Linked DNA regions of Caenorhabditis elegans. The protein of the gene in region 4 interacts with the protein of the main gene of each other region in a pairwise test. Each region holds a gene or a part of one and is shown on either strand. Other genes may lie near its edges. The genes, in order: T11B7.1, tag-325, C11E4.6 and src-2.

The links.
Region 1: the proteins of src-2 (region 4) and T11B7.1 interact in a two-hybrid assay, tested with the Caenorhabditis elegans proteins (one large-scale study listed by BioGRID).
Region 2: the proteins of src-2 (region 4) and tag-325 interact in a two-hybrid assay, tested with the Caenorhabditis elegans proteins (one large-scale study listed by BioGRID).
Region 3: the proteins of src-2 (region 4) and C11E4.6 interact in a two-hybrid assay, tested with the Caenorhabditis elegans proteins (one large-scale study listed by BioGRID).

What each region holds. Positions count from the first base shown.
Region 1 is NC_003282.8:8,838,973-8,843,329, forward strand, and holds T11B7.1 (Centrosomal protein of 162 kDa), read left to right. Parts: upstream 1-1,744; 5' UTR 1,745-1,752; coding exon 1,753-1,819; intron 1,820-2,101; coding exon 2,102-2,309; intron 2,310-2,358; coding exon 2,359-2,781; intron 2,782-2,899; coding exon 2,900-3,220; intron 3,221-3,281; coding exon 3,282-3,600; 3' UTR 3,601-3,833; downstream 3,834-4,357. Other genes in the region: T28C6.7 (Kinesin motor domain-containing protein), read left to right, coding at 1-460, 623-953, 1,168-1,200; T28C6.11 (uncharacterized protein), read right to left, coding at 691-911, 1,166-1,289.
Region 2 is NC_003281.10:4,795,310-4,802,861, reverse strand, and holds the start of tag-325 (WW domain-containing protein tag-325), read right to left. Parts: upstream 6,024-7,552; 5' UTR 5,952-6,023; coding exon 5,856-5,951; intron 5,804-5,855; coding exon 5,655-5,803; intron 5,294-5,654; coding exon 5,119-5,293; intron 5,047-5,118; coding exon 4,628-5,046; intron 4,232-4,627; coding exon 3,757-4,231; intron 3,293-3,756; coding exon 3,077-3,292; intron 2,308-3,076; coding exon 2,198-2,307; intron 2,114-2,197; coding exon 1,935-2,113; intron 1,740-1,934; coding exon 1,613-1,739; intron 1,134-1,612; coding exon 952-1,133; intron 899-951; coding exon 645-898; intron 427-644; coding exon 286-426; 3' UTR 1-285.
Region 3 is NC_003284.9:9,608,614-9,616,566, forward strand, and holds the start of C11E4.6 (ANK_REP_REGION domain-containing protein), read left to right. Parts: upstream 1-1,949; 5' UTR 1,950-1,962; coding exon 1,963-2,087; intron 2,088-2,134; coding exon 2,135-2,474; intron 2,475-2,664; coding exon 2,665-2,895; intron 2,896-3,410; coding exon 3,411-3,759; intron 3,760-3,874; coding exon 3,875-4,189; intron 4,190-4,237; coding exon 4,238-4,549; intron 4,550-4,597; coding exon 4,598-4,726; intron 4,727-4,964; coding exon 4,965-5,485; intron 5,486-5,907; coding exon 5,908-6,078; intron 6,079-6,148; coding exon 6,149-6,371; intron 6,372-6,476; coding exon 6,477-6,607; intron 6,608-6,731; coding exon 6,732-6,877; intron 6,878-6,932; coding exon 6,933-7,176; intron 7,177-7,660; coding exon 7,661-7,795; intron 7,796-7,838; coding exon 7,839-7,953.
Region 4 is NC_003279.8:14,320,680-14,328,258, forward strand, and holds the start of src-2 (Tyrosine protein-kinase src-2), read left to right. Parts: upstream 1-1,557; 5' UTR 1,558-1,607; coding exon 1,608-1,853; intron 1,854-1,901; coding exon 1,902-2,023; intron 2,024-2,883; coding exon 2,884-3,005; intron 3,006-3,790; coding exon 3,791-3,988; intron 3,989-4,623; coding exon 4,624-4,694; intron 4,695-6,349; coding exon 6,350-6,613; intron 6,614-6,672; coding exon 6,673-6,961; intron 6,962-7,579. UniProt on the Caenorhabditis elegans protein: Non-receptor tyrosine-protein kinase which may play a role in larval and pharynx development. Unlike src-1, does not play a role in embryonic development.

The DNA.
Region 1 (4,357 bases), on a different chromosome or scaffold from region 4:
AAGATACCAAACAGAAGCTAGTCGAGGCTGAAAATTCGGCTTCAGGATGGAATGATGATGATGCGTGGAACAAAAATGAAAATGAAATTGAAGAAGTAAAGAAGGCATTGGAAATCGAGATTTCAAATAGGAATGATACTATTGTGAAACTTCAAAATCTTGTCTCTAATCTACGGCAACAGCTTATCGAGGCATCCGAATCGGCTGATCTGAAGTCTCTGGAAGAGTTGGAACAGTTAAAAGAAGAACTTCGCATTGTTTCGGAGCAGAATGGATTGCTTAAGGATTCGGAAGCTCGATTATTGGATCACGCTGACGAGTTCGCCGTTCAAATGGACAAGTATCGTGAGAAATGCGAAGTTCTGACAGCAAAAATTGCAGAACTGGAAGCACAACTTCAGAATCCTGCTGAAGAAGATCAACAGCAGAAGACATCAAACGTCGAGCTAGTCAAGCTGAGGTGAGTTAAATCTTTTTAACGTTTAAATGAATTGGTGTATAGAACGAAATTTTATTTTAAACTAAAGTATTTGATAGCATGTTCCGGACATGTGAAAATCGAAAAAATAAAGTAACACACAATCAGAAAATTAAATATAGATTTATATTAATATTATTTCAGACAACAACTTGCAAATGCTCAACAGGATATGCGAGTTCAAAATCTGACGATTTCTGATCGTGAAGGTCTTATCGCGGAGTATCGTCATCAAATTGCCGAGCAGACCAAGACAATTGAAGAACTTCACTTGAAACTAAAAACCTTCTCAGCGGCGGCTCGTCGAACTTCTCCACGAGTGCCAATGTCATCGAATGTACCAGCTCTCTCATCCCGCCCATCATCCAGAATGTCAACGTCGTCACGAATCTCAACCGCGTCTTCGTTTGTGCCAGAATCCGTGGCAGTACCACTACAATCAACTGGATCAGCGTTTGATGTCGTCGTACGACAGGTATAAATTTAGCTTTTCATATGATTTCCAGATGCCCAAAACCTAATTGATCACGTTTTCAAACTTAAATTCTTCTGAAAATGTTATCTATGTTACCTTCAAACATTTTTTATGGCGACATCTAAAATAGTGGTATTTCGAAAAAAAATCTCATTGTACATTCGGCCGATATCGGATGCGATACACAAAACCAAGTAATCAATATTACTTACAGAGTGGCGAGCCTCTTCGACGTCGTAACAAATAGATGAGATGACCCCTGTACGTTGCCCGTGGAGAGTGTGGTTCACTGTTTCTTCCAACACTACAAATCTCCAACATACCATTCATTTGCATTCGGTGTTTTCTCCCTCCCTCTTCTCGTTTTTAATCTTTTTTACTTTTATTCTAGGTCTGTCAGTTCTGTAGGATCCCTAATTAAGTAACTTTTCCTCAAGTATTTTTTAATGTATATTCGTAGATCTGCTAAACCTAAATTGAATCGATAATTTTTGGAAACCTTCTTTTCGAGTCGATAATATACATGAGCGTTCTGTTTTATAGTTTTCATCCAGATGACTTGCCCATACGTCATCGTCAAGAGATGACTGATTAATTTATTATTTTTTACATCCAAAGTGCCTTGATATCGGTAGCTAATCGAGTTTTTTGAAGGGTTTTCATTTGTTTTCTTGTTTATAATGCACGAATTGTATGGAAATGATTGTAGTTATGATATTATAAGATATGAATACGGTTTCATTTAACTTCTTTTTTTTAAATCTGTTTTAGTGCAAGGATTTTGGATTTTCAGAGAGTAATGTCAGGAATCAAACCAAGTGTTTCAAAAGGAGAAAGTCAAGCACCGCAAACAAGACAATTGGAAGGTAAACATTTTTGAAATCACAGTGTTTCATAACAGGAATGATATTATTTCTGACGTTTTTTTTTGTATAATTAATCGAAGCTGTCACATCGCCTCGCGCACGCGTGTATGATAGGTTCCATTCGCAATTTGTTCCTGGAAAATTACGGAGAATGAAAGAAAAAGTGTGACGTCATGCGGGTTTTTCTACTTGCGTTTTATGTATCCCGTCTGAAAATCTGAAACATCGATAGTCACGCAGTCCTCTGAATACTTTTCCTCGTGAATGTATATTAAATTTCAGCGTCTAAGCCTACAGTTCAAGGAATAATTGATATTCTTCATGATACCATAAGCTATGTCCAAGTTGAGAAACAAAGTAAAACTATTAATTTTTCCATTCCTCATTTGCAAATGATTAAAGAACAGCTTGAAAGTATTCAATTAAAAGATAAAAACTACAAGGATTTGGAAAAAAAGTTCAATGAAAAACAGGATGAACATTTGGAAACGTAAGTATACTGTTTTTTCGTAATTTTTGTAAGATTAAACTTGTTTCAGAATCCAGAAGTTAGATTCAACACTCAGCCGTCAGAAGCTTAAGTATGATGATATGAGACAGGCACTTTCTGTAAAAATCTATACACTCGAGAATGAATGTTCCAATTTGCAAGACAACTATGCTGACTTGCAAAATGATTTTGAAGTTCAAATTGAAAAATTCAAAAAACTTCAAAACTTGAAAAGTATTCAAAATCACGAGAATTCAAAAAATGTGAATCCTCTAACATTGGATGAGCTCACCGAACAGTTGAAACAATTCAAAGAAGAACTAAGTATTGATCAGAAACTGAAAAATATTCAGTTAACTTGTGAAGGACTACAGTCAGCTGTTGGAAATTTTGAAATGAATTCGAAAAAAGCTAAGGAAATTGAAATTCTTAAAATGGATATAAAGAAGACACAAGAGCTCTATGAATCAAGGTAACTATGTTTATCTGTATAGTCGACCGAAAACATAACATGCACTGCCATCGAGATATAGTAATCTGTTTGGCAGTGTAAGAACAAACATTTTATGTTTCGTAATTACTTTTTCCAGACTGCTCAGGGCTGCTCAAGAAAACAAGAAACTGCTCAGAAAAAACGATACATTGAAAAACTATCTTGATAATCAAACAGCGAAAATTGGAGAGCTCACAGCTGGAAACAAAACAGAGAATCGTTCACCAACTCCAACATTGCAGGGACTTATTGAAATTCTTCAAAAGTTTTCAGACGATCAAAAACTTGAACCAGAATGTAAGATGCTGCAGTTGCATAAAGAGGAGTGTCGTTTGATTTTGGAAAGTCTTGAAGTGCACGATAAGAAAGATCAAGAGATTCAGTGGTTCCAAAGACAAATTAACGATCAGAAAAAAAGGTAAGTTTTGACGAAACATTTATATTTTGTTGATCTTAAAAACACATAAAAATTATTACAGAATCGCTAATCTTGGTTGGTCATACGAAAATGCTCTTGAAGATAAGGATGCTCTAGAATTAAAGCTTGAACATCAATACGAGCAGATGATGGAATTGAAAAAGAATTTCATTCCGAAAAACGAAATTTCTGAGGATTTGGCGAAGACTGTCAGAAATTTTGGAAAACGTCTCAGAAATTCTCGAGGAAATTTGAAGAATGCGTTCAAAGAATTAGAAGCTTTAAAAGAAGTTCAAGAGGAAGAAGGCTCATCAGATGAAAGTTCTGAAAGCAGCGCTTCTGATGATTTACCAGATGGTGACAGCTCGTCAGAGGAATAGCATCGAATCAGAAAATTGAGATTTCATTGAAATTAAATGTACCTTCTTACAATGACTAATATTTTAAAAAATTTTAACTATTCACAAATCAACGATTTTCTTGTTATTCGCTCTACGATATATCATGATTTCCCATTTATCCGACTTTCTCTTTGTTTTCAAATTTTCTTGATTATTCTGATTAACTTTACACTGTTCCAACTGTTCTTGTTTCTGAAATAAAATCTTCCAATAAGTCCTTCCAAGAACCAAAGACAAACTTATGTATAAAAAATGTCACAATTATAACAGCTGCGGACGAGCCCGAACAGGTTGAAAGTCTTTCTCAACCTGTGGACAAATGACGGTCCAACAGCCGGTAATGGACCTAAGACGGCCTTCAGTTTGCCCGCTATAAAACCGTACGTATTAGCCAGCGGTGGGCCACTTTTCACTGTTGCCGCTTCAAATTTGTCATGGCTTGGAATGGATAGAAGATTGTTGAGACGATGGGTATATCAGATTTCTTATTCTGTTCGTAAAGTCTGGATCATTTTGAGATTATTCTGCGTCTAATGATACAATTATCTTATTTATGTTCCTCGAGGGTGTCATTTTTCCATGCTATCGATTTTTTAGACAATCATAAATGTTGTTAGGTTGACCGAAGGCGCTGGAAGATGATGAACATGCCCTAAATTTTTGACTTTTGACAAGCCAAAGTTTACATTTCTGTTCATTAGATCTTTGAAAGCAATTTGATTTTTGTAACATCGGA
Region 2 (7,552 bases), on a different chromosome or scaffold from region 4:
AAATACAACATAAAAAAAGAATAAAGCGTAAAAGGAGAAGACTGTAATAAGTAAACGGATGAAAAAAAAAGACTAGCATACTGAAAATGTGTTGAGGAAAATGAATATTACAGTACATATTTACAACATTAATTGATCAAATCCCGAAAGTCAAGGAAAAAAAAGTAGAAAGAAAATAAGAGAAAACGATAAAAGTAATACCCATTTTTCGGCGATAAAACACCCAAAGTGAAACGGTGAGAAATAAGGTCACAACTCTTTTGGAAAATTTGAAAAATCTATAGATTATCGTCCAATATTGACTGGAGCTTTGAGAATATCAAATTTGTTGGCCGATTCGAGAAGATATTGAACAATTTGGGATTGCATAATCATTGAGAAGGCGAGATGAGAATTCGATTGGACAGGAGTTGCTTGAGTTTCTTCCTGGAAATTATAAGTATTTTAAACAAGGAATATCAGTTGGTTTTTGAGTTTTGACTCAATTTTCAATAACTTAAATTACAAATAATTTGGTGAATATAGAAAATGAACGGTAATGACCAATTATAACTGTAAAAAATTTCAAAATTTGTTTAATGATATGTTATATCAATTTTTTAAAGATTTTTCACTCCATTCTCAATAAATGAAGTTTTACAAACCTTTTTCGAAGGTTTCGCCTTCTTTCCAGCTTTCTTATTTTTGGTTGCCAAATTCACGGCTCCATCACCATTATGGAATAGTGTTGGACCAAAAACAATAGCAAGATTATGTTGTTGCATTCGATTTTGTGATGAATGCGAGGCTACACGATTCAAATGACGAAGTAACATTTTCAATGTTTCACGATTCTCGTTTGGAAGTCGACTTAGAAGTTCTTCGAATTTTTTGAAACGAGTGGTCGCGTTGGGCATTTCTGGAATAGAAAATTGGTTTAGGACATTTTAAAACTTCAAAAAAAAAACTTACGCATAGCTGATGTGTATTCCTTATGAAGAGAAATTGGGAAAAGTGGATCGGTTAGCTCTCGGAAAAAGAGTTTAAGAGCACCAGTAAGAACATGAATATCTTCTTCAGACACAAGAGCTTTATAATTGTCTTGATCAGCTTGACATCGAATTTTTTGGACTGCGGACAGGTTTCCACTCACTCTGAAATAAGAAATTTCAAGTTTCAATGCTATTTTTATTTGGTAGTCATCCTTTAAAAAACTGAAAATACAGTTAGAGAATACTCTCGTAACAGTTCAAATTTTTTAAAGATATTCCAAAACTATAATTTTTAAAGTGTGCCTTTAAAAAATACAGTAATTTTGATGTTGATTTTTCATAATTTTTTTGAATACAAATAAATAAATTTTAATCGAAAAACCGCAGCAACTGTGAGTTGGAAATTACAGTACTTTTTAAAGGCACACAATCATTTAAATTTTAAAAAATCGTGTCGAGACCGGGAAAAGTTTTTTCAACGCAAACAGTTCGCATCTGGGTAATGTTTTTCGGAAAAAATTATTAGGTCTACCCCTTTTGATAGTAAATAAATTTTTAGATGTGTTTTGTTATGGCATTTGGTCATTTTTTCACAAAATGGCGACACTTCATGTAATTTTTTTCCAATTTCATAAACTAACCGATAAATTCCATCTGTCTCCAATCCTTTACTCTCAATAACTTCAGTGATAACTCTAATAAACTTCGGTACCAACGAGTTTTCATGTTGACAGATTGCAGAAAGAGTTGATCCGAATACTGGTTCAGCTGAAATGATTCTTATTTCAATATCAATTTACTATATATAAAGCGCGTGTCGTTCCGTCACTATGTAGTTTGATTTTTGACAGAGCAACGGAAATTTGGGAAACCTTATGATAATTGTATTTTCTCAAAAAAAAAAGTCGGGGGCCGCGCCGTAGGTGCGGTCCACGGCTGGTTTGCATATATTTCCAATCTTACGTTTATATATTCCCTTCTCTTTAAGACTTTCCACTGTAGGGCGTGTTCGGAAGAATCTTCTCAACTTCTCAATGATCGTCTCTTTTGATGGTCTTGGTTCATCAGTTGATACACTTGTCGATACCGTTTCAATTGCAGATTGTGACATTGGATCATCACGTCGTCGCATACTTCGGCTTCTTAAAAAACAAAACATTTTCAATAAGACATGGTTCTCTCAGAATTTTGAATTCAATTTTTTTTTTTTTGAAAAAAAAACTCACATTGGAATTAATGCATGGGAAAGTGGACGCGTGCTGCCAATGTATGACGGATTACGAGCAACGCCATTTGTTACATCAATCATCGGTTGGTTTGAAGAGCCAGGAGACGGCTGAAACGATATACATAGTCTTGAAATCTATAATCGGATGCAAAAAACAGTATACGGTCTCGACGCGATCGAATAGGTTTAAATGAAAAAAGTTGTGCGCCTTTAAGAAGTACAATAGTCCATTTTTCTCGTTTTTCTCAAAAAACCTTTTATTGTGTGAAATTGTATGCACAATTAAAAAAAAAAAGATAAGTCGAAGAAAATTGAAAAACAGCAAGATTTATTTAATTTTCCTAGATAGATTTTTTATAATTTCAATATTTTTTGATTAGTGTCACAAAAAAAAAAGGAAAAAAAGGTTTTAGACGAAAAGGCAGGAAAATGGTAAAATAGCGGGACTACTGTAATTATCAAAGGCGCACACACTGTTTCATTTCAGCATTTTCGGTCGTGTTGAGACCGGGTTAGATATTTTTCAAGCGAAAATCCAGCTTAATAGGATTTTCAGAATTTTCTCCCATGAATCACCTCACTATTTGACCGTTGCAGGCTCAACATTCGGACTCTGGAGCAAGCAGTATGCCACATGGTACTTTTTTGAGAATACACAACAAGTAAAAACTTTGCAATAATAGACGGAGAAAAACTTCGGCCGTGAATTCTTATTTCTACAGTCTTGAGAAAGTTGGAAACAACTTGGCAAAGTAGCTTATAGCCGAATAATCTCTTAATTGTACCTGCCAAGGGCGGGAGAAAAAGAAAAATGAAACAAAAACACTTGATTTTTTTTGTCTATTTTCTGGATAATTTTCAAATAAAGAAATCTTACAAGCTTTGCGACAACTTCTTCCAGTGACTTGTACCATTCGACGGCTTCCGTGTCATTGGGACCTCGTAACAGGTATTTCTTCGTGTTACACAGCTCTAATTGAATATATTTCCGTTGTTTCTTCTTTTGTACATCCCGATTGTCTTGATACCATGTCACACTTGCTCCTCGTAAATCCCATACTCCTTGTGGAGCATCATAATGTTTTCCGTGTTTCTGAAAGTTGACAACTATTTGGTATTGGTTGATCTACTGACAAGGAAAGGAAATAAATATATACAAAATATGGCACTTCAATTTGAAACATTATGTTTAGGCTGAGCTGATATATATGTATATAAATATTTAAGCTGCAAAAACTCCACTCGAACCATCTGAACTTTATCAACAAACTTTTCAACTACTTTTATGATCAGTCGAGTTGTTCCAAAAGTGGATTTTTGCAAACTTCGGATCATTTTTAAGCTGTTTAGAGATAAGCAAACATTTCGGAAGCTTTTTGAAATTTTTAGTTTCTGAAGAAGAGTGCAATTTTTTGACCGAGGTGGATGAAACATTTTCAGATCATTTTCAGAAAAACTTCCAAAAAGCAGACAATAATACATCATCTCTGCACATTTTGTTAAAATTTCTTAAATCTTTTTTTCTGCGTTAATTATCAACAACATAAAAAAAACTACCTCTGCACTTTTTTGGTCTTTATACAAAATGAGATGAGCCGTTGTTAAATACATGTAGTTCGTGATCCATTCACGTTTTTTTGGCTTTACAACTTTCTCTGCTGGTTCATCATTTTCACTTCTTTCCAAATCACCGCATCGAATCGTTCGAACAGGTTCACGTCCATCACCACTACCTCGACGTTCTTCACATCGTGATGATGGTGTAAAATCGGCAGAATCTTCCATAAGGATCGGCCGATCCGGCGTATTAGAGTGATATTGCGGATGGTGATCGAAACTTGATGAGGTTGTCGGCAGCACTTGTGGCATTGGAACATTTTTTAGAACTGTACATTTGTTCTGAAATGAGACCGATCTTAGGTTCGTCGGAGATGGACGACGGACACGGATTGCGGTGGGAGTTTTTGATGTTTCATTGGCATCTGGGGGAATCACATACGAAGCCAATTTGTCAGTGTCTTCATTTTTGGCCCTAAAAATGTAACTTTAGTGATAGGATATAACATTATTGAATTTAGGGGTAGCGTCGATGGGAATTTCACTCAAAAATACTCAGGTTGATCTCAAATGCCGATAACTTTTTTTGCATCTGTAGTTCTCAATACTGCCGCAAGTTCTTCATTTTCCTTGAATTTTCAAGTGAAAAGGAAGGTTTTATGCCTATAATGGCAGTTACGTTTCGCCTAAAATATTATTTTTGTCTGAACCAGTCGAGAAAATCGAAGTGAAAAACGGAAAAATTAGCGGAGTTTCGAGGCGCGGTAATTCAAATGAGGCACAACTGAAAATTCACTAAAGTTAGCCATGTTTCAAACTTAATGATTTTTTTTTCGTTTTGCTCCACTATTACAAATTTTGTAAAACCAACCTTGGAAACGTTGATTGAAACGAAGAAACATGTGCATAGGGATGTGGCATCATTACTCCGGATGCTGTAGAAGCTTTTCTTGATGATGTTGGAACAGGTTCTTCGTCAAAATCGGAATCTGAAGCTATGGATCCTTCTATAGGTTTCACATCATCTTCATCTTCATCATCCGTAAAACTGTCAGAGAATGGAATTGGAAGAGGCCGTGATTGAAGATCAATTACAGGTGATGATTGTTCATCCACGTCATCGCAAACTTCATCAAACACTTCTTCATCTTCTATCAATTGACTTTTTCTGTCGTCATCAGCTAAAGATTCACGCATTTTGTTCTCTTTTTGTTCTTCTGATGAAGATGTCGAGGATCCTTGAAAACTGCATGTAGTATCTAGATTCGTTCTTGTTGCACGAAGAAATTCCTGAAAATTGAAAACTGAATGAAATTATAACATCTTACCAGATTTTAATTTTTTAAAAGTAAAAAATAATACCTGAACTTGTGCGGGTGTTCTGATAAACCTCGGTGGAATCCATTGACTTTTTCCAGTTTCTTTATTGAAGAAAAATGTCCGTCCGACGTCGGTCTCGTATTCAAACCAACCATTTAGAAGATCTCTACGGGGCTGCGCGTCGGCTCGCGGAGTCGGTGGAACCGGTCGGCTGAAGCTTTTAAAAATGTTTTATGATGATTTTAGAATCAAAAATGAAAATTAAATAATCATCAGTGATTAAAAAAATGCTCCAGGTGTTGTTCCAACATTTTTTCATAAATATTAGTGAGAAAATATGGAAAAATAATAGATATAATTGAAAATAAGAATTCAATTTGACGAAAGAATTTGAAAAAGTGCTTAAACATAGTCTGAAATTGTCATTTACCAATTATCGAACTTAATTTTTCAGAGATTGGCAAGTTTCAAACCATTTTTGACCTCTTTTTCAAATGCTTCACCCACGATTTGCACACTAATTCCAATTTTTCAAAACATTATAACTAAACCTGAATCATTTCAGATATTTCCCGTACCTGTTTAATTCTTCGATTTCTCTGATATTTGTATACACATGTGATGGATCGTCAGCGTAATTCTGTCCATTACTTTCACGTGGCAATGTGTTCGCGGCGCTAACATTCGTTTGACTAGATGACGAAGAGGATTCGGCCGATTCGGACATCTGTAATGAATAAAATTATTTTTCTCGCGTTCGATGAGAGAGAAAAACTAACAATTTCTTGGAACTGAATAAGATCCGAAGCTCTTGATCCAGCGGGTCCTCCGCCGAATCCAGTTGTATCTGACGGCTGAACAGCGGTGGTCATCATCCGACGAACAAAATCGATAATAAATCACTTTTAACACCACCGGAGAGGCATTGAAGAGAATGATAACGAACTGCAAAAAGGACGAATTGCTAAAATATTCGGAGAGGGAGAGCATGGTAAGGAGAGGAAAAGAAGAGAAAGATCATGTGACCATTGACTTTGTTTTTACAGTGTTTATAGAACAAAACCGAAATATTTAATAAAGCAGATTGATCCGGAAATGGGAAAACAAAAATTATAATTAGGTTGTTAAGATAATTAAATAATGTTCGAAAAGAGAAGAAGACAACAATTAAGTATTCTAAATATCTAAGAAACTTGATACATTTCTTTCCACTTGAATCGATTCTCTCGAATTTCCGTGACTTTCTGAACATTTCGTAACTTTATACCCATAAGAATATCTTACGAAATATTTTTAAAATGAAACATATTTTAATCAACCAACGGAATTGATAAGCAAAATTTCCGATTTTTTGTTTCATTTCAGCTGTCCAATTTCAAAATTAGCTGAAATTATTTATAAATCAGTTTTAATTTAAAATTTTGTACAATTCCAACAGAAAAGCACCAAAAAAACCATCACAAGGAGGCACACACGGGATGACTCATCCGGCCGTCGTATTTCCCTTGTCCCGACTGGAGAAAAGAGAACACAGAATGGAAGAGTAAGATACGCAGACAGTGATACAGAAAAAACTCGCCGTGTGTTCTCTCACTCATTCGGGAGGTTAGAGACAGTGTCTTGGGGCTAAATATTGGAGATACAGACACACGAACAGACGACAATCGATTTAAAGAAATACAGTCATTGTACAAACCTGATAGTGCCGTGACTAGAGGTATTTACTGGTTTAGCTAGTGAAAAGGCTCTTTTTAGACTTCAAAAATTTGTTTTAATAAATAGTTTCATTATTTCAACATATTTTACTAAATAATGTGCCAAATTGAAAAACTATTCACTAGACAGCATAGAAATATAATATTCTCTTAAAAATCAATATTGGAGAACATTTTTGGATAAGAATTCTTTTACCCTTAAGGGTCAATCTTATATAGCGCGTCGTTATCCAGAGCACTTTTTGTCTCTATGTTTTACACCGTTCGTTGATGTTATCTCATCTTCAAAACGAATTTCCTGCAGTTTCTTAGTCTCTATAGTGCCACGTTTTGCGTGCGCGTAGAATAATAAATTCATGTTTTATGGGTCTGTCTGTGTGCACAAGCCGACCGCCCCAGTTTTCCCCCATATTCGAACATCGTTTGATGCCAATCTTGACATGGCAGAGAAATAGGAAACTGAATGCATTGGGGAAGAGAAAAAGAGAAACTGCATTTCGCTTTCAATTATTTGAGTGGCCCGTCGGAAGAGCTCTCACAGCTACTCTACAATTTTGCATCTAAAGGGGTCACGCTATTTAAGCTAACAAATATTTTTTCATGTTTCAGAACACATTTTTCTTAATTATGCGAAACAAGAATAGAATGCACCGGAAAAAAAATTTATAGTAAAATTCGTGAATGACTCGCATCCAAAATATAAAAAAAACAATGTTACTATTAAAACTAATTAAAAAATAATTTTACAAAAACACATAAAC
Region 3 (7,953 bases), on a different chromosome or scaffold from region 4:
TACACTCTTTTTTAAAAATGCAAATGATATAACCAAAACTTTTCGTGGGAGTTAATTAAGTTAAAAATATTTTTAAATAAATATATTATTTAATATATGGTGTACGGTTGAAATTGTAAGCCAAAGATTTTTTAATGTGCGGTGTGAACAACGAAACAGTTCCAAAAGTTTTTTGAAAAATCTCAGTTTTTAAAACTTCGAACTTGGGGATTTAATATAAAATATTTGGAAAACTACGAAATCGCATATCTGAACCGCCTCACTATAGTTTTTTTGATAACATTTTTCATACATTTGTGGTTTTCAATTTTTACTTGTCTAATTTTTATTTTGATTAACATAAGGACAATTTTTCTGTAGAAAGTGAGCAGAAATAATCAATTTTTTTTTTAAATCACATTGGAAACTAAATCCTCAACGCAATTTTAGATGTTTGAAGTGATATGTGTTTATTATTCACCTACATATGCAACACGTTGGAAACACTTATTACAACTTAACAGCACGGGTTTATCATTCTTCCTTCCTTCCACCTTCTCCTCTCAATTTCCACCCTTTATCTTCCCTTTACTGCACTTCATAAGTGCTTTTATCTCTTTTTCTTTTCCTCTCGATTTGCAGCATGTCATTATCTTTTTTGTCGTATATGTTTAAGTCAACGATTATTAACTTCAATTTAAGCATCGACCGTGTATCCTGTGCTATTATGTTTTTGTTGTTTGAGGCTATTTTGAAAAGTGCACAGCCTCCTCCGCATGTGCTCACTAGTTCTAATTGAATTTATCTGATTATTCGAGGAGAACCTTCTCAGATGCATAGAGTTGGTTTTTGTTCAAAAAATTTTTTCTTAGTCAGAAGTTAAATGTAATGTGCACCCATCACTGATCATAGTACATATGAATATAAAGTTTATTCAGCGAAGTTAAGGATTCTAACATGTAAAACAGCTGAATTATTTAAATTAGGAAAAATCGGTTAAAATCACCTTGAAAAATGTTGCCATATTGACTATAGCTATTAAGTAATAATTTTCTAAATGGAATTCATATTAATTCAGCTGGCAAATTTGGAAAAGTGTTTTGTCACCATCATGTTTTATTTTTATTTTTTGTAATTCAGTTAAATTGTTGGACGCTATGTTTTTTTGTTGAAGAATTGACACGAAATTCGTTAAAACTATAATTATCATTTTTTAAGAACATATCCGACAACTTTTCGTGAGAGCCATTGCAGTTTATAAAAGGTATCTTGTTCTAGTGGTACATTTTAGATGTAAACTCGCAAAGAGCTGATAATATGAGGAAAATCTTCACTATAATTTTTCACCTAAGAATATCCTTGATGACTACAACTCGAACTCAATTTTCCATAAGCTACTATTAAACTTTTTTTTCCTACATTGACCATTAGTAGTATTAGCTGTAGTTATATTCTTTGTTGTTGTTGTTGCATCCAATGCACTCCTAGACCGACAAAAATTGCAAAGAAGAAGAGGAGAAAAGAATGTGTAGTTTTGTGGAGTTGTGAGTGACCGGCCATCCACATTGCGCCCTTCCTATTCCCATCACCCTGCTTTCACCACTCTTGTCGAGATTTTGGTGAAAAGCGAGTAAAATGCAATACATTACGAGGCATTCTTCGCGCGGGAGGAAACCCGGGGACCCCCTTGCTTTTCATCTACAACACTCCCTTTTTCTACATATTTCGCATTTCCTATCTTTTTATGCATTACTACTTCTTGTGGACCCCTTGAGTAGCAAAATACAACTACATCTCAAAAAGAGAAAGTAAACAAGATTAAGACAAAAAACTATATGTGTTCACAAAATCTGTTCTTTCTCCTATATTCTATCCGTCTTTTTTGTTTCCTACTTTTCTTTTTGTTTTTTGACATGAACATCTGCTTTCTCTTTTGTCCTAAATTAAATTCTGAATCGATCATTTTACAGGAGCTCAGATGAAATGAGCCTCAAAGACTTTGTCATATCAAAAACCGAAGTAATCGATGCTTGTAAAAAAGGAGAATATGATAAAGTTGCGTTGTTTCTCAGCTCGAAAAAGGGCAAAAAGATTCGAAGCGGGCTGAAGTAATACTTATTTTCTAATTTTCAAATAAACTATTGATATTTTTCAGATTTTTCACAACGCGATCAGACAGTCATTGGCTCGCCGACTACAAAGATGAAAAATCTGACTTCACCTTACTCCATCATGCGGTTCTCGAGAATCAAAATCAAATCAGTAAACTCCTTATGGACTACGAACCACTTCTTTTACTGTGTAAAAGTACAAAAAATATTTTACCAATTCACTTGGCCGCCTGGAATGGGAACTTGGAGATTGTGAAAATGCTTCTTTTACAAACAATGGAAAAGCCCGCAGATATTCTGAATGCAGTGAACATTTTCAATGAAACTCCACTTCATCTTGCAGTTCAGAGATGTCATCTTGAAGTTGTGTTCTATTTGATAAAGGTAAGCAAAGATAACTTTGAGAATTAAAACTATTCGACTGTGAACAGGAACAACATTCATATCTATAATAAGTTATTCAATTTTGCAATGCGTTTGACGTTTGATTCTTGTATAGAGATTAAATTGTTGACAGATTTAACAATTGTTAGCTTGAAAAATCACGTATCGTTTCAATTTCCTTAAATTTCAGAAAAATGCCGACCCCTTCATTCGTAATGAAAACAAGGAAAATGTGATTGACGTTGCATCACGCATTGGATCTGCTGAAGCCATCAGAATGTTGTGCCAAAAATGGCCAAAGTTTCCTGTGCAGTCAGCATATGAGTCTCTTCGAGTTGGAACACCGGACATAAAACGGCCCTTTCCGGCCATATACCCATTTCACCTTGCAGCAAAGTATAATCACGTTGAGTGCATGCAAGTGAGTTGCTTTTTCCACTTTGCTATTCATTATTCAAGAATTGAGTATAAGAGTAAGGGTGATGCAGAATAGTTTACTCCTTGCGTGAATGTTGGTAGCAATTTGAGAATAGCAAAAAAACGGGGTTAATTTTCTGATAGGCGTGTTTCATATGAATCTGCAAGTTTGTACAATGTTTACAAATTTGAAATTCGAAATAGATTCGATAGTAACATGCTTATGATTTCATTTTCATAACTCATCCCAAAAAACGTTTAGTTTGAAATATAAACACTCAACAGATATTTTTTTGACTGTGCACTTATGCGTCACGGTGTTTGCGGTTTTCCAACAAAAAAAACTATATTTTCTGTAGTAAATATTTTGAAACACTACTATTTATTATTTGTATTTTTGTAGTTTAATCATAGGTTTATAAGACTCATATGTTCTGTAGATTTTTTTAGTTAAACAAACCCAATCAAATAATTTACTGTTTCACTTAAATGAAAAATGTACTAAATGTTTAATTTCAGGCTCTTCGTGAACATGGTTTCTCCATTAACTACACTACGGAAGATGGGACAGCTCTACATGTGGCTTCTGCTTGTGGACAGGCCGAGGCAGTCAGGTTTCTGCTGGAAATTGGCGTGAACACTGATATCAAAAATCAACACGGACAAACAGTGCTCCAAATGATCATCGATCTCCAGGAGAACCGAAGGAATGAAATCGCCCATTTTGTAAAAAATCCGGAAGGATGGAAGGAATGTAGAACAATTATCGAAGGAATGGATAGAAGAGACTCTGGAAGAGAAACCGAAGGAAGTCAAAGTGACAATGAAAGAGAAGCAATTTGGCAACCACTTCCAAGTCAAGCAAGCGGTGGGTTATTTTTAAAACTAATAATATGTGCATTGTAAGGAACATTTCGGTTATCAATCGAGTTAAGCTCAAAGTTCAAAATCTGAATGATAAATAAAGTTATTCACGATTTCAGTTCAAGTATACCCGGATCAACGAAGAAACAATCATTCCATCTACCAGCCACCTTCTATTTCTGCAAGACTGCGAGATTTATCCCCCGACGACTCTACAGAAGCTTTGAACAGTGTTCGATCAGAGGGGCCTTACACCACACACTCTATCAATCGTACATGGAACAGTTCCATGTTAGACAGAGCTCCAAGAACTGGAAGGTTCCCGTTGACATCGCCTAGTTATCACTCAAAGCATTATTCGTGTCAAAGATCCAGCGATACATTGCCAACGAGGCTGAAAAATGTTAGAACGAGGCCAACAGAAAAGCAAATAGGTAATCTATTATCGATATTCTGAGTTTACGGATTGACTTTATTTTCAGCTTCTGTACTCCCGGGAGATAATTGTGCATACAACTCTCCTTCAAAATTCAATGAATGGCAAAAGAGTCAACTGACCATTAGCAATCGTCCGCCAGCACCATATGACAACGTTCCGAACAACTCTGCAATATTCGTCCGCCCCAACTCACCAATAGCAAGATCTGCATCACTCCGTAGACAATCCGGATACGCAACACTTCCAAAACTTGCCACCTACTCTCCAAGAATTCCAGATCATGGTCGTCCTGACCTGAATGACGCCTTTATTCAAGACCCAGACAAAACAATGGATAGGTCATTGAATCGGAACCGTAAGTATAGGAAACGACTCTAATTAATATAAAATAAAGACTTTTAAGAGTTTTCTATTTCCCGAACTACGTGTGATCGTGAAGAATCGCTGGGATTGACGCAAAGTCCAAGACTGGACACCAGAGCAAGCAGCATAACATCATCCTTGACATACGCGTGCTCGACACTTGACAAAGGTAGGCATTTTAAGCAAAAATGGAATGATTTAGGGGCATACGACAACCTAAAAAATTTCTAGCATATGATGTACGAGTTGATAAGTTCGGGTAGATTATGAGAAAACGAATCTTCCAACACTGATCTCATGCTCGGTATCTTGTTAACTCTGAAAAAAAACTTTGGTCAATGACAAGGAAAAAATCATTTCCTAAACTTATGGAGTCCTGAAGTCAATCTAAATAAATGCAATTTCAGATAAGTTCTTCCGGGAACGCGAACGTGATAACGGCCGTGCACCATTGGCAATGCCAGAAGAAATAACAGGTTCAGTGACAGGCAGTGTCATTTACAGCCAAGGAAATGCGAATCAACATCTAAATGGGAATTATGAGAAAGACAACAATGTGACTGCAATTTTTTTAGAAGACGTGATGAGACCATCATCAAACTCTGCCGAGAGCCCACCTTCCCCAAACACCTCTAAAGCATTCATCTTTGACGCGTTATGTGGAAAATCTCGGCTGGTTGACTCTACAAATGTTGATTTCTTCTCTGGATTCTCGTCATCGTCAAATTTGAGCCACAGAAGCACTGAATCAACGTCGAAGGTGCAGATGAATAGCAGTTTCACTGAGCCGGAAGAGCCTGTCCGAATCCGCCGTCAAAATGGAACAACGAACCTTATGCTGAATTCACTTTCACCCACAGATAATTTGTCGTCCCCCTCATCAGACCAGAAATCAGACACGACCAGTGAAGAACCTAGTTGGGATAGGGTAAGTCGATCAGGGGACAAACCAATTTTTGTTTATTTTTTCGTAACAATGGCGTATCTGCAAAAAGCACACGGATTTTATGTTTCTCAACAGTTTCTCAATAGTCAGCTATTGTTAATGTAAAGAAAAACAGATCAGAAGTTTTTTTTAATGATAAAAACCTGCACTCGCTGTGCGGGCTTAATTCTTACGGTGTATTTGAAATACAGAGCCAGAAAAACTGTAATAGGTCAGTCTTTTTTGTGTATTTGCAAAGCTGGGTAGCGGGAATAAAACGCAGTAAAAAATAACGGCAGCGCCTAAACGTTTGTGCGTTTTTGGATTATCAGCATTAAACAACAAAAAACGATTTAAATGTCAATTCTATAATTTCAAATTTGAAAAAAGTGTCAGTGAAACTTTGTTAATTTTTTGTATAACAGGTGGAAAGTGTATTCGATTCGTTTGGTGCAGCTCCATGTCGTGAAAGTGTTTTTGTTCGTGAATACGAGCCACGTGTGGCAGTTTACTTACGTGATCGTGGGTCGAAAGCGTTGAGCGTAACACTTGTCGAGGATGAGTTCAGAGATCACAAGTCGCTTCTTGTAAAAAAGGTACTTTTAGTTACATTTTTGTTTCAACTTCCATTCATGTCACGTTTTACACCGGTTGTTCATGTTTCAGCAACCAAAAACAATAATTGAGTGGTTGGAAAGTGATGTTATGTTAGCCCCAGTAGCGGCTGATTCAGTTGGAGCACTTCTTCAAACTCATGGATATGATAGAATGGATCAACTAAAAGGGATAATAAATAGAAGTATCCTTACGGAAATCGGAGTAGATGACGTCACCAAGTTCAAGATAATGTCAGAGATTGAGAAATTGAAGGATGATGTTGCTAGTGCTGGTTGGTTTTTTTTTGAAACATAAAACACATTCATAAAACACATTTACTCTGCCGGAACATTTTAAGAAACCTTCATCAATTTTTCAAATCACTTTTCAATTCCAGGACGTTTCTTCTATGTTAGTGAATGGCTCAACTTCATCGGACTTCAAGATTACATTTCCAACTTTGTCGGTGCAGGATACAAGCATATGGCAAAATTGACAGAAATTGACTGGGACACGGCAAGATTGATGGTGAGTAAATTTGTTCAAATAACAACTTTTGTGATTTTAAGATACTTTTTATCACTGATTTCGCGTTTATTAATCAAAAAATATCCATAGACCTGTGATAATTGTTGCATATTTTTAATTTCAGCAACTCGGTGTTACTCGTCCTGGTCACATTGCTAGAATGCTCCATTCGTTCAAAAAAGCAGAAGACGAAAAAAGAAAAGAGTACAATAATCGACTACAGATTAAGCCATTAATGTCACCTCCTCCTCTGCCGCCAAGGTCAAAACAGTAAGTTTTTAATGAGAAATAATTTTCAAAAGAACAAACATTCAACAAGTTTCAGAAACAACTGTGCTGAATGCCCACAAGGCGATTTTGACAAGATCAAGAACAAGTTGCTGCAGGGCAACGTGGTGTATCGTGCACACCACCTCGGTGTTCTGGAAATTGGAGAAACCGAATGCTCTGATGAAGCTCATGCAGCTATGACAAGAATCAAAGAGTCGATAATTGACTGGGAGACTATTCCACGGGTTACTTTGGATTTGACTTGCAATGGAATCACTATCTTCGATGAAACTTTTAAGGTAATGATTAAATTATCACCTAATGGAATTGACAAATTGTAAAAGTTCAGCAGAACTGAGAAGCGGTTAAAGAATAAGGGGGTCGGGAAACAATAATTTAACGACTGATACACCTGCATTCGTTGCAGGAAAGTTATGACGTGAAAGTATTTCATAAAATCTGATTACTTATGAAATATACTTATACGATGTGAAAAAAACACAAAGATATTTTAATCGTATGGTATTTCGGAAATTGGATTTTAGAAATAGAACATCATATTTCTCGAACCGAGAATTCATATTTTGTTTGTGTTTATCAATTTTATCAATTGTATTTTCTCAGCAGACGTTAGAGGTTGAGACGTTTTTTGACTAGTCTAGGAAATTCGCCGCAATCGGATATCAGCTGTAGGCCACAAAAGACCACCCGCAATATTAATTTGATTAGAAAATCCGAAGCGTTGACAAACTTGCCCCCCGATTAATCTCAATGATTTTTTAGACTCTACTTGACGGCTATGGTGTCTATACAATAAGAGTCGTATGTCAGGATAGAAAGGATCTCAACTTCTTCTGCTTTGTTGCAAGGGACACTGAAAATCGTTTCTTTTGTCACACTTTCTGTGTGCTGACCTCGGTATTTCGCACAAATAATGCCTTAGAAAAGTTCATATTTCTAGGGAATTGCCGCAGAAATCATCACCACAATCGGAATGATGTTTGAGCTCAGAAGCAGAATGGACAAGTCTCTGCCAATCGAAGGAACAATGGTACGATGCCGGCATAACAGTCAGC
Region 4 (7,579 bases):
ACCGGCTAAATGAATTTCTTTCCGGCTTTTGGGTTTTTTACCTAATATTTTGTATTTTCATAGTTCTTATTATACAATTTTCGCCAAAGATAGAAAATGTAGTTTTCCTTTTAGGTCCCCCAATTTTAGATTATACTACTACTTTGGAACATAGTTTTTAGGCCTTTTTTAAAAGATTTTTTAGCTTTGGCTGAAAAACTCCTGGAACTGGGAATTTTGGCCCAGAAAATTGTGACGTCAACACGTTCTTAACCGTGCGACAACAGTTGGCGCATTTTTTGTAGATCACACCGTTATGGGACACTCTGACACCTTGTCGGAATATTGTTAGCCTAAAAAACTTTGATCCCTAAATTTTGTTGCTCACTTTATTCGAGAGAAATTTCAGTTTAAATTCTAGGCACTGAAATTATAATAGTTCTCGATTAATACTATGAGTTCCTTTCCTGCTTTATTGTAACCTTTTAGCTTGAAATTTTACTTTAAAAACTGAATTTTCTACTCTAGAAGATTGATATATTGAAAAAGTTGTAACTCATATATTATAATTTAGTGCCAATTTTACGGTCAAATTTTTTGATTTTTATTAGCTGACAACTTTTCATATTTTTCAGGATAAAATAGATATAGTAGTAGTCCAGAAAGTTATTTTTATGGCTCCTAGAAATCCATACAACTCTTTATTGGGGCTAGATGTCAAAAAGTTGTCAACTAAAAAAATGTAGCAAATTTTATGCGTAATGTATTGTTAGTTGACAACTTTTTTATATTTATTAATCTGAAGGTGTTATAGTCGATTTAATACAGCTAGTTAGTCCTAGCTTGCCCCTGAAACCCCATAACGAAGAAATATAAGAAAATTTCGCATTAAGTATTTTATTGGTTCACAAGTTTTGTGTTATTTCTTTTTTGAAACTAGTCCAAAATTATTTTTACTTGACTGATCATCTTAAAAATTTTTGCAAGTTTTCTTGGGCCCTTTTTTTTAATCGCTTACAAAGAAATGCTCCAGGCTCCTTTAAATTGTGCAGCAGACATTTATCGCTGCATTTTTCCAAATTCCCACCTAAAGTTTCGCTAAAAATGAATTTTCTGGATTTATAAACCCTGTAGCTCCCCAGCGTGTCAAGTAGTCAGAAAGTTTTTAACTGATAAAACGAAGTAAGCTTTGAAATCTACAATTTTTTAGTTGACCACTTTTTGATATATATATATCAAAAAATAGATTGACATACCAAAAAATAGATTGGCATATCAAAAAATAAATTGGCATATCAAAAAACAAATTGGCATATCAAAAAACAAATTGGCATATATATATATATATATATTTAAACGATTCATGGCAGTTTAACGCCCACACCTATTTTGCCCTGGCTCCTGGAAACCCCTATAACTATAACTTTAATTGGTGCTAGTGTCTATCAAAATGTTGTCAACTCACAAGTTGTAGTAAATTTAATTTTTTTGATCTACAATTTGCTAATTGACAATTTTAAAACGCTATATTTTGTCCAGCGAACCCTAATGAACCAGAACTATCTAAATTTCTTCCAGAACCTCCCAAATCAAAAAACTGACGACACCAGGATCGTCCGTTCCTCCCCATGGGATCCTGTATTGGAAAAGAGGATCCACCGCCTGGTGCAACGTCACCAGTCCACACGTCATCCACGTTGGGAAGGGAGTCACTGCCAAGTCATCCACGAATTCCGTCCATCGGTCCGATTGCGGCGTCTTCCAGTGGAAATACGATTGATAAAAATCAGAATATCTCGCAATCTGCGAATTTTGTCGCTTTATTCCAATATGATGCACGGACAGATGATGATTTGAGTTTTAAGAAGGATGATGTTAGTTTTTTATTTTATTTTTTGAAACTCCATATCTCATTCTTTCAGATCCTTGAAATTCTAAATGATACCCAAGGAGACTGGTGGTTCGCCAGGCACAAGGCAACTGGACGGACTGGGTATATCCCGTCGAATTATGTTGCCAGGGAGAAAAGTATCGAGTCACAGCCGTAAGTTTTTTTTTTTTTGAATTTTTAGCCAGCCTAGGGAGAGAGGCCGGACTTGAACTTGTGACCTCCAGATTGCTGGTGGTTACCACTACCTACTGAGCTATCCAGCGCCTCTTTGTTAGTTGTCACAGGGGCTTGATCAGGTGTAACTAAAACTGTCATAACTCCTTTGGCTTGTGAGATACAAAAAAATTGTCAACTAGCACATTGTAGAGCAGAAAATTTCCTACATTTTGTTAGTTTAAACTTTTTTGATAGCTAGCACCAGTGAAGAGTTATAGCACTTTAGAGGTGTCAGCGGGGAATCAGAGCAGGCGTAGAAATGGTTCAACTCTTTAAGTGTATTTTTACCGGCAAAAGTTGTCAACTGACAAAATGTTAATTGTAAAATTTACTACATTTTCGTATTTTGAACCTTTTCAGTAACTTAATGTTTGTAGAGTTACATAGCTTTAACGAAATTTTGAAAAAAATAACATTTTTACGAAACTTAGAAAAATTCCAACTCACATTAAAACCTTAAAACTCGAATAATTTTGTAGTTCACTGGTAGTAGTACCTAAAATCAAGTACTTAATATTCCCTATATTTTGTTAGTTGGCGACTTTTTAATATTATAGCTAACACCATTAAAAAGTTATAGGGATTTCTAGAAGAAATCCGTGTAGGCCTTAAAACTATGATAACTTTTTAAAATTGATTGATATCAAAAAGTTGGCAACTAGCAAACTGTAGAACATAAAATTTGCTACAATTTAATAGTTGACAACTTTTTAATAGCTTGCTTTATTGCAGAGTTACAGGGATTCAAAAAATAAGATTTTAAAAATCCGAAAATCTAAATTTTTACAAATTTCCAGGTGGTACTTTGGAAAAATGCGGCGAATCGATGCGGAAAAATGTCTATTGCACACTTTAAATGAGCACGGAGCATTTTTAGTGAGAGATTCCGAAAGTCGACAGCATGATTTATCATTATCAGGTCAGTGAACTTTTAAGGGCGCCCCATAGGGCACATGGCGGGCGAAAACCGGTTTTCTGGGAGAGATAATCAAGGTCGGATACAACAAAATGAGAAAGGCGCGGTGACAGTAAGAGGCAGAAAAGAGGTTATCCCCGCTCGCCCCGACCTTTTATGATTCCGAAAGTAATGGGAATTTGGGAGAAAGGAGGCAAATTGGGAGATTTTGATGGGTTTAGATGGGTAATTTGGGATGGGGGAATTTAGATGGAAACTGTCAAAAATAGATGGAATATACATAGATGTTTATTTAATTTTTAAAACTTTTTTTAAAAAATTCGAAAAATCATTTTCGATTTTTTTAAAAAAATTTTATTGAATTTTTTGCCAATAATTTTCTAATTTTTTAATAAATGTTTTTTGAAAAACTGATAGATTTCATTTTTTCTGAAAGTATTACAAAAAGTTTTTATCTTTATTTTCAATTTTACAATTCTGAAAAATTATAAAAAAATATGTATTTCGTGCTTTGTAGTTTGTAGTTTGTAGTTTGTAGTGTGTAGTTTGTAGTTTGTAGTTTGTAGTTTGTAGAAAACCTTTCAAAGCTCTTTTGAGAGTTACCAAAAAACGTTTTTTTGGGAATTTTGAATTTTTCAAATTTATAATATTTCAGTATTTTTTTTTCCTTTGTAACATTCCAAAAACTGTCAAAAAAAAAACAAACTCATCAAATTCCAAGTTTTCTTAAATTTGAAGATTGTAGTTTGTAGTCCAAAATCCCCCTATTAATCCCAATTTTCTTGCAGTCCGAGAGAACGACAGCGTAAAGCACTACCGTATCCGTCAACTGGACCACGGCGGGTATTTTATCGCCCGGAGGCGCCCGTTTGCCACGTTACACGACCTGATTGCACATTACCAACGAGAAGCCGATGGTCTTTGTGTGAATCTGGGAGCTCCTTGTGCCAAGTCAGAAGCCCCACAGACAACGACATTCACATATGGTAAGCTGGAAGTTTTTATGCCTGACAGGTGCCTACATCTGCCTAGATGCCTACTAGATACCTCGGTGCCTACTACATGCCTAGATACCTTTTTCATGCCTAGATACCTACGACATGCCTAGATACCTACTACGTGCCTAGATACCTACTACATACCTAGGTAACTGCTTGATGTCTAGATGCCTACTACATGTTTAGATACCAACTATATACCTAGGTAACTTATTGATGTCTAGATGCCTACCAAATGCCTTGATGCCTACTACGTGCCTATTAACCTACTACATTCCCAGATACCTACTGCATGTCTAGATACCTACTACGTGTCTAGATGCCTACCTGATACCTAGGTGCTTACTTAATGCCTAGATTCTTACCAAATGCCTAGATACCTACTACGTGCCTAGATACCTACTACTTGCCTAGATACCTACTACATACCTTGATACCTACTACATGCTTAGATACCTACTACAAACCTAGGTAAATCCAGTAGGCAAAAGGCGAACCTAATTCAGGCCAAAGTTGACTTAAAGGTAGGCAGGCATTATTGTGCCTACCTACTAGGCCAAACAATTCCAGGGACCCACAAGGCGCCCAGTTACCTTTAAAAATGTTCAAAATTCCCATTCCAGATGACCAATGGGAAGTGGACCGCCGTTCGGTTCGTCTCATTCGACAAATTGGAGCCGGGCAGTTTGGAGAGGTAAGCATCATCATTCTCTTTCGGTTGTTTGCTTATTCACGTTGCCTGCCTGCCCGCCAGCCCCACAGCCCGCCAAATAGTGTGCACAGGCTCATCCTCCTCCTCCTCCTCCTGTTGCCTATTCCGTTCGTGTTTGATGTATATTTGTGTGTGTGTGTGTGTGTGTGTGTGTGTGTGTATAGAGAATTGATGGAGAACGAGATAAACAGGAGAAGATATGCTAATTGAGTGGGGGTAAGGAGATGATCTTAGGGGAAAATTGCAGGGGGGGGGGGGGGGGGGTGGGTCCCCGATGCACCATGTGTAGCCCCAAATTACAATTGTTAGGGTAGAGCCTGAAAAATTTTAGGTTTTTTTGTAAAAAAAACCCCAAAAAATCGCATGAGCAAGAATTTTTCTTGATATTTCTAGGCGCACGGGGTTCTGGCCTTCCTTATTGATTTTTTCGCGCTCCATTGACCTGGACAACGCGTGGGAAAATCGTGCACTCCACACGGACAACTACAACAAGTTTTAAAACTAAAATCGAGCCGCGACGCGACACGCAACGCGCCGTAATTCTACCCCAGATATGGCCGATCCAAAATGGCCTTGTTCGGCAAACTCTTCCATCTCAATTTATGAGGGGAGCCAGAAATCCGTGTAGGCGCTACTTTACACTCAAAATAAAAAAAAACTGCGTGGCGTGTACTGCAGAAAACCTAATATTTAGGCCCCGCCTTTCTCTCGTCCACTTACGGAGAAACGGCAAAAATTTTGACCCCAACCAATATCAGGCCGCCAACATCTCACGGGTTCCGCGCGTCGCTGCGTTTAACTCGCAGCGGGCGGAGACAGCTCGTCACGCCCACAGCAAGTTAAACGCAGCGGCGCGCGAAACCCGTGAGATGTCGGCGGCCTGATATTGGTTAGGGTCAATATTTTTGCCTTTTCTCCGTGAGCGGACGAGAAAAAGGCGGGGCCTAAATATTAGTTTTTTATTTTGAGTGTAACTCCCAGAAACCTCTCAGCCTATGGACTAAAAAACTTCAGGCTTTTATTTTTCCGTGTTTTTCTTAATCCAGGGGCTTTTAGTGTAGATCCTAAAACAACCGGATAAAACGGTTTCCCCTTTTTCTATTGACTTTTCCATCTCCTGATCCGAGCAGCTACAGCCGCCAATATTGAAACAGATAGGACCGGTTTGAAACATGATATCACTCCCCTACAAACATCAGTTCCGCTAGGAGATCTCATAAAACGAAGGGATCTGGAACATAGAGATTTACCACTAGGGTTATAAGGAAATGTCGATGCACCATGAGTAAAAACTCAACCTCGAATATAGATAGCAAGGCCCTAAAATGAATGACAAATGTTCTCATTAGAGCGCACTTAAATTTGCAAGCATGAACGAAAATATGAGTTTTGTAAGAAATTTAATCTATGAAGCTTCAAAACCATGCGAAAAATGGCTAAACATACGAAAATTCTTACTACAGCTTACTAAAGTGTGTGTTTGAACTTTGAACTTTTTACCTAACCCCGCCCCCCCCCCCCTTATGCTTGCATGTTTAAGTGCGCTCTAGTGAGAACATTTGTCATTTTTTAATTAGAGCGCACTTGCAAATCAGCTTGCAGATCCTGGATGTACTACATAAACCATCAATTTCCAGGTATGGGAAGGCCGATGGAATGTGAACGTCCCCGTCGCTGTGAAAAAGCTAAAGGCCGGAACCGCAGATCCTACGGATTTCCTAGCCGAGGCACAGATTATGAAGAAGCTCCGGCATCCGAAGCTTCTGTCCCTGTATGCAGTCTGCACACGTGATGAGCCGATTCTTATAGTCACCGAGCTAATGCAGGAGAATCTGCTCACATTCTTACAGCGACGAGGTCGGCAGTGTCAGATGCCTCAGCTGGTGGAGATCTCGGCGCAGGTGAGGTTCACGTTCGGATTCCTCGAAATTAAAAAAAAATTTCAAAAAAAGTTTTGCAGGTTGCCGCTGGAATGGCCTACCTAGAGGAGATGAATTTCATCCATCGAGACCTAGCAGCACGAAACATCCTTATCAACAACTCCCTATCTGTAAAAATCGCAGATTTCGGGTTAGCCAGGATATTGATGAAGGAGAACGAGTACGAAGCAAGAACCGGAGCACGGTTTCCGATAAAATGGACGGCGCCCGAGGCGGCGAACTATAATCGATTCACAACCAAGTCGGATGTCTGGAGTTTTGGAATCCTGCTCACCGAGATTGTCACGTTCGGACGGTTACCCTATCCAGGTGAGGATTTGAACCGACCCGTTTGATCTACACGAATTGCGGAAATTTAGGCGCAGACTTTTCAACTGATTTCGCATGGTTAAGAGTGTGCTGACGTCACCATTTTCTGGGAGAAAAATTCCCGCATTTTTTGTAGATCAAGCCGCAATGAGACAGCCTGACACAACGTAAGATGGTCTCATTGCCGCATGACCTCCAGAAGTGGCGGGAATTTGAATTAAAAATTTTGACGTCATATGAGCTTTTTTGAAAACTAACATCCCGCCTTTTATTGAGGTCAAATTATTTTTTTTACAAAATGGTACCAGTTCGCTAATTATAAAAATTAAGTCCCTTATTGAAGGGGCCTTGAAAATTTCGCAAAACTTTGGGAATAGGTCGCGTCAACTAAAATGTGGAATATTCCTGCGCCCTTCGCCGTTTGATCTCCGGGAATCGCGGAAAATTCAAATTTTGAAAAATGCGATGTAGCCTAAGTTTTACTGTAGAACGTGGTGTCAGAGTGTCCCATTTCGGTTTGATCTACGTAGATCTACAAAAAATGCGCGGAGTTGAGACGCAGAGTTCTAAAGTGATTTTTAGAACGAAAAACTCCCGCATTTTTTGTTGATCAAACCG